Xenopus tropicalis: one gene and its partner. The protein of the gene in region 2 interacts with the protein of the main gene of each other region in a pairwise test. Links are inferred from orthologs where the notes say so. Each region holds a gene or a part of one and is shown on either strand. Other genes may lie near its edges.

Region 1 (4,027 bases), on a different chromosome or scaffold from region 2:
CTTCCAAATCTGTGTCTGGGGTGCTCCTGTGGGTTAGCAAAGAAGCCTCTGTCCTTTGTGTTGCCAGTCCTGTGTAAACATCACCATCCACCATATTTTCTTGCCCCCTTCCAAGCTGTTCCTCTGCATTTTGGCTGTAAAGGTCTACTACTTTACTGGGCCTATGGCCAGAGACATGATCAGGCATCCTTTGTGTCCCATTTGTAGAAGTGATTGGAATATCTCTGTCTTTACCCGCATGGGGAGGAGCACAAAGTTCTGTGTTAGAATGGCATGCCAGAAGCATTTCGTTCACAGGATAGGCTACTGGCAGCTGAGAGGAATGCTGATAGAATACAGGCACTCTTCCCTTTGCAACATCCACTGGCACCACCCCCATTAGGACTGAAGGAGACTGTGCAGTGTTAAGTTTGCTTATGGAGTGGGGAGACTGAGCCTCTGAGGGTGGAGTCACACCCTCAACAAGGACAGAATTATATGGCACATAGTGAGGGACATGAGAAGCAGCTAAGTTGGCAGGAGGTGATATCACTGCTCGAGAAAGAAAGCCTGGTGGAACTGTATATGGAACTGCGTAGGGGGAACCAAGGAACTGCACAGCAGTATGTGGAATTGGAGCATAATGAATAGGTGGATAAGTAATACCTGGGTGCTGTATCAAAGGAGAAGCTACATTAAAGGATGATGGGATGGAGCTCATATTCATCACAGGATGGAGACCAGGTGGGGAAAAGGAGGCAGCAGGCACTGCAACTTTGTAAAACGTTGCATACTGATCCACAGTTACAGCTTCTGCTTCCTCCCCCGCAGCTTCATAACTAACTCCATGTCCCTGTCCTGCTGCCACATACACACTCCTCGGCCATCCTGAAGCTTCACTTGTTGTACTTTCATTAGCAGATGAGCCAGGTACCTTGGGTTCCTCCTCCACATTTACACTGTTTTGTGACAGATCCCGTTTCTTTGGTGGAAGACATTCCTGGCTCCTCTCATGTGCAGGCTTCATATTGTCTCCTACTCTGCCTGGGATCTCTGTAGTTTATTAACTTCATTGATGCCTCACAGGAATAACCTCTGATAACTCCATTTACATCCCTTGGATGTCTTGTAAACTCTAAGAGCTAAACAAAAGGGAATCTAATTAGATTAGTGATTAGCATAAGAGACACTAGAATAAAACAAATGAAAATAGCAAATCTAGAAAAATACAAATTATAGGCCTATATATAGTAACAAGAACAACATTTTCCTAGATCTAGTAACCCATAACATCCAACCAACAGGTAGCACTCAATGTTCCGTTACAGCATGAAAAACATGAGAAACACTGATGCAGCTGCTATTGGTTTCTAGACCTCAGTAAACTCTTCCCTGTCACTGCACCACCACAATAATGTCAGGATCAATAAGACAACTTATAGTGACCGACAAATGATAACAGAACAATATTCAAGAAGCAATAAACTGCAATAAGCGCTCCCCACAGCCCTCATGCCAACAGTCTATATCCCATCAATGTGATCCAATTGTTTGGCCCTCAGGCCAAATGATCAGATAAATCTAATATCGCCCACCCCAAGGTGAATATATTAGGAAAAAGTTCTGCTTTTTTTGGAGACCTTGAGTCGATCTTACAGTGTATGGCTGTCTTTTCTATTCCCTTCTTTTCATGTTCTGTAACATATCTGAAAAGGAGAATAATAGAAGAGTGCAAAGAGGAGACCTGATTTGATACATTTATTTTGTAATCAGAAGGGAACAGCAAAGTGCAGACAAAAACTGCTTTCAAATACAATTTAATTTACAAGTAAAACGTTGGATAGCACCGACCTAGGCATATAAATACATTTGCATTTGGGATTCAGGTTCTCACAAGCAGCCTACCCCATTTGATATACTAAGGACAATTTTAAAGTATTTTTCTGCAATGCTAAGACTAATATGCATTTATAAAATTACAAATACAACACAAAGCAAAGGTTTTTCTGTATCAAGCCACTGCGCACAAACACACAAAACTAACGCCCTCCCCACTCACAGGGGAAACCAATAAATATTTAACTCTGCTATAAATTATACACACGATATGTTTTCAAAGAGGATCTATTCAAACTTCTGTTTAAGGGCAACTCCACCTTCAACCCATCGTTAAAAAAGACATTCGGGCAGAAAGAGTGGGCAGCTCTTATTTTATTATTGTGTTGCAAAATGTTTAACAATTCTACTGAACACGCTAAATGTAGATATTATTCTAGTCTACTGGCTCCTGTCAAGGCCGCCAAGGAGAGGGGGGGGGGGGGGGGGGGGGAGTCGTCCTAGACCAGCGGGTTTTGAGCATTAAGGTGGGGGCCGGCAGTGCTACACCTACTTGGATACCGGCCCCCCTGCTGTCAGTGAGCTGCAGAGTTCGGGAGCTATTTAGGTTGCTACGGCGCCTGAATGTTCTTTGCCCTACTCTGCTTTATACTGCCAAATAGTCCCCCGCATTCCGTAAAACAGCCCAGCAGTCCCGAGTTCCCAAGCGCAGCCCGCAGTCCCGTATCGCTACTTACACCTCCCGTAAAACTGTTAACTGCAGGCTCCTAGCCTCCTGTCTTACAGCAAATCCCAAAGCCACAAGTCTCATCACGCGAGACTAGCGTCAGGACTAAACGTAAGCGCGATGACGCATCACGTATCCGCCTAGTGGAAGTGACGAGCCGGTGTAACCCAGTCGGACACTGCAAGTTGTTGGAGGTTCAATTGAAATCTATTTTTCCTTTGGTCGCACCTCCTACGTTTGTTGAGGACATGAAAAGAACCAGAAAATATTTTCTTGTTTTCTTGTTTATTTTTCGCCATTACCACCCAGTTTCTACCGAAGTTATGTATTTTTTTGTGCTGCTAAGAGTTGCTTACTTGTGCCAGCGAACTGGAAAAGAGGAGCCTCTTGTATACCGTCAAGATGAACAGCACTTTAACGTGCAATGTTGAACTATATATTGCTTGAGAAATACAGCCTGGCATATATAAGTTTTTAGTGTGTAGACAGAGTCCTCAGCCAGCCTAGTTTATTGTGACCCAGATGCTTTACTAGAGGCTTACATTATTCATACCCACCTACTTCTTAAATATGGGCCCAGCAAGCACAGAGGGCCCGGCGTTAGGGATTATAAATAGCAGCGATTTAGAATTCTATATAAAAGAGCCCTATATGTGAGGTCCTGCCAGCCCAAAAGCTTCTTACAGGAAGGTAATGTATTATAGTCTGGCACTTGAAGGGGTTGTTTACCTTTAAGTTAACTTTTAATATGTTCTAGAATGGCCACTTCTAAGCAACTTTTTAGTTGGTCTTCATTTTTTTTATTTTGTATTATTTGCCACCTTCTGCCTCTTTCCAGCTTTCAAAATGGCCATTGACCCCAGCAGCCCAAAAAACTATTGCTCTGCAAAGTTACAAATTTATTGTTACTTTTTTTAATCTATCTATTCAGGCCCTCTACTATTCATATATCAGTAACTCTTTCAAACCACTCCCTGGTTACTAAGGTAATTGCACCCTAGCAACCAGATAATTGCTTAAATGCCAAACTGCAGAGCTGCCGAACAAAAAGTAAAATAATTAAGAACCTACCAATAATAAAAAATGACCAATTGCAAATTAGAATAGCACTCTATATTAACTTATTGATTTTCTTGGAAAAGGCACAGTCTACTAATACTCTGTATATAGTTGCAAGAACATATAATTTTGTGCTAATGCAGGGCTGCCATCAAGATCGGGGTGGGGGCAGTTGTTTTGGGCCCCAAGGGTTTTGGATTTTAAGGGGGGGGGGGGCCTGGCTGTGCTGCACTTGGATTACCAGGTCCCCTGCCGTCAGTTGCTGCGCTGTGTACATGTTCTTTCCCCTACATAGCTGTCTCATTCACAGCTACACAGGACTGAGAGTGTGCTGAGTCTTTAGGTACCACCACAGTTACCCATGGGGTTCTGTATAGCCAACGTGAAGTTTAATCTTGAGTGGCTCCTAGTTACTGTATGTACATG
Region 2 (3,500 bases):
TGGTTATCAACAAGATGTATACTGGAACCCTTTATGTCAAAAGACCTGCCCAGGCAGTCTGGTGAGAGGTCTATCTGTTCTGTGCAGCTAGCTTTGTTTTCATGAATTACAAGGGGCTGCAAACTGGATTTATTATCCAAAGGACTGAAAGATTGCTGTTCTGGCAGTGGCTTTTTCTCACCAATATCAACACCAGTACAGTTTACACCAAAATTGTTTAGTTTTGGTGAGCCCCCCTGGAGCCTTTGAAACTGTTCTGCTAGAGAGCGTACTAACCCCTTATTCTTTGGTGCCTCAGATTTGCAAGGTTCTGGACCGCAAAGTTCACCTTGCTTGTCTAATAATGCCTCATGACTATTTGCACTTGAGCACAAGTTGGCTTGTTGAAGGCTGAGGCTGGTGTTACCAGGTGGAGTGATGTCATTACAGGAACCCATCTGTTTATTACTTTCACCAGTTTCAGTACTAACACATTTGTCTGTGCTAACAGATTTATTACAATGACTGGGTGGGTTGCTTCTATCAGGAGACTGAGTCTGTGTTCGGCGTGCCCACGGAAATAGCAATGATGGTAAAGAACCAGATTTAATCCCACTTAGTTTCACCTTATGCAATGTTAGAAGGCCTTCTTTTCCTTCATTTTCCTCTCCCACCTTACATTTATCAGGGCTGACATTCTTTACCCTTTCTGTTTTTGTTTGTTCATTTACTAGGCCTTGGCTATAAGCTTCTGATTTCACCTTATTCTCAAACACTGCTTCCTTTGGAGATGAGACAAGACCTTCAGAATCGAGACTGTTATATGGAGCCAGAAAGTTAGAAAACGCTTTGCTATGTGGGCTTTGCTCAGAAGCTGACAAGTTGGAAGACTCAGAGGACAATGGAAGCAACTCATGGCTACAAGCTAACGGGTGGAATAATGGATTGGATGGGTAGTCCTCCTTTGTGTTGGTCTCCAGCATTACCGGTCTGTTCACTGGAACTTGTTCCGAGATAGCCTGGTCACTAAAAATTAAACATTTTTGACACGTTATTAGCAACTAAAATATATGAGTTATAAGTTGTAAACAAAGGCTTCCATTATGCAATCAGAAGATCTCTGTACACAATGCAGCAGACACCATAACATTAACACTGAATTTAAGCGGCTCCAGCTTAAAAAAATGTAACATTTAAATGGACCAAGCAACGGCAAAATGCAGCATAATAATCAGGCTTCTCTACTGTATCAATTTGAGAGGCTAGTGACTTTTTGTTATCAGCATAGACTGCGTTATTTGGAAGAGTAACTGCAGTAAGGTTACCAAGGTAGCCAACCTTTTGAATATGTAATATATTTCAACAAGAGGTGTATAGTAAATATTTCTTGATGGTAGGCTTAAATAAGATCATTTCTGTTTTGACCTTTAAATACAGAAATCAAAGAATAATTCACTAGTCCATGCCTAGTTAAGGAAGTTACACAGCAGCTACCTTGTAGATTGGTTTATAGCTTCCCCCTGTGGCAAGGGGTAATCTGGTGATGGCGGCTGAGGAATTGTCGGCAGCTGCATGCGGTCCTGAAGACTCCGTGCTTTTCGTATGCACATTTGCAACTTCTTATCTGCTATGGCTCTGCAGTGAGTGCTAGATCTGGCATCATGCATGGCAAATCTGATTTTAGCTAAAATGCAAAAGAAAACATAGCAGAAACAAATGCAGCACACACAAAAAGAAGAAAAAAAAAATCGGATGCAGAAAGGAGCATAACATGAACACATGCACTACAGAAAAACAAAACAAATAATGTTTTTCAGTTGATTAACAACAAACATTTATGTATGCAGCGAATGCATCCTAAAATGTTGCTTGAACCAGCCTTATGAATGTAAAACAAGCTGGGGTGGGAACAGTCTCCATATTATCTCTGTGACCTGTCCTAAAATCAGGTTTTTTTTTTGGTGGGGGTGGCGGATTTCAAGAGATGGCCAATGAAATGTTATTAAAAAAAACCCACAACCACCCAATAATAGTTAGATTAGCAAAGGAAGCTTTGGAGAAAACTAAGACTCATAAGATTTTAAGTGTGTGACCTGTGCCTAACAAAGTGGCTTGCTACCTATGAACTTCAGAATGATGCATTCAGTGCACAGACACTGAACTGGGGTTATGCTGTATTGTAATGTAAAGATTCTCAAAATAAGCTACACCTTAAATGTGGAAAGTCACAAGCCAGCAAATCAAAATGCTTCTATAAGCCAGTATGATAAGAAGAAATCTCTGAAGGGTTACATATGACTCTGAAACGAGGTGCACACATCCACTTTATTTAGCAACAGGGATAGTGACTCCTTTAATAAATAGCCTATAAATGTCACCAATCACAGCAGAGTCCTGTCTACTGATAGTAAAACAAGGTCTTGTTTGAACAAATTTAGATGACATTTCTCAGATAGGATCAAGCAGTTTAGTATAGTTAGGAGAAAATTATCTGTGAGACAGTTTCCTATTTACTGTATGTAAAACCTTACTAAGGTTCAATATCTGTACATAGGTTTTAACCTATGATTTTGAATAAAATGGCTCCTCATGAGAGCAAGGACAATAGTTAGTAGCTACTGAGATCGTTATCTGTGGCCCAGTTTCCATGTCAACTTCTGTGCATAGCATCTCCCCTTGTTTCCAGATTAAATGGATCTGATTCTCTAGTGACAGCAAACAGAACAGATGGCAGCCATCACTTTCTGCGTCCTTGTTCACTGCTGATAGAGTTACTTAAAGAAAGTTGTTTAGAACAAGCGAATTGCACTTTAGCCAATGCCAATTCTTTGCTGACCTAATTCTCCTTATTGACATTTATGGTTTCTGCCAACAGTGTAATGAATATAAAAAAAAAATTACAAAAAAAAACACTCCCGAACTTTGTAAATATGTTGATTAGCTTTTTTGTAATGCATTATTTATGGGACTGTATGCACTAATTCATGACAGCAATGAAGTTTATAAATATAGGTATTTGACTTATTTTACAGCAACTTTTTCAGCATAAAATATTGTACACAACTGGAGTGAGTCAAAAAAGCAAATAATAATATATATGTATATGTATATATATATATATGACCTAGTTTTATTATTCTTATGACATTGATCATTGCTCCTTTTACCAGGGTCAGCTGCACTATAAGTTGCAATAAGTTATGCAACCCATAACTTACCTTTTAGGTTTTTTTTAGCGTGGCCCTCTTTCACCAAGCCAAGCACATTTGTACTAGACCTTTTACACAGGAGTGCTGCACTGCAAATACAATTTGCCTTGGAAGAATGGGTGGAGAAGTGCCTAGATGACAGAAGACTGCTAGACTTTAAGGCACAGCAGCCCAATATCATAAGATTAAATCCATATCAACTTATGGGCTTTAACTGCCTGAATAATTAAACTAAACTAGCAATTAGGTGTTATTGGGCATATTTGTGTCATTCAGCCATATTTCACATTTATATTTAAAAACACACAAGAA

What was found. The genes of interacting proteins can lie anywhere in the genome.
Region 1: the proteins of usp54 (region 2) and atxn1l interact in binary tests that used the Homo sapiens proteins (3 or more experiments, as listed by UniProt). The link is inferred for Xenopus tropicalis from reciprocal best matches to the Homo sapiens genes USP54 and ATXN1L.

The regions. Positions count from the first base shown.
Region 1 is NC_030680.2:59,918,724-59,922,750, reverse strand, and holds the start of atxn1l (ataxin-1-like), read right to left. Parts: upstream 2,801-4,027; 5' UTR 2,553-2,800; intron 2,528-2,552; exon of another isoform or gene 2,456-2,527; intron 1,122-2,455; 5' UTR 1,007-1,121; coding exon 1-1,006. UniProt on the Homo sapiens protein: Chromatin-binding factor that repress Notch signaling in the absence of Notch intracellular domain by acting as a CBF1 corepressor. Binds to the HEY promoter and might assist, along with NCOR2, RBPJ-mediated repression.
Region 2 is NC_030683.2:44,369,352-44,372,851, reverse strand, and holds part of usp54 (inactive ubiquitin carboxyl-terminal hydrolase 54), read right to left. Parts: intron 1,664-3,500; coding exon 1,474-1,663; intron 1,006-1,473; coding exon 1-1,005.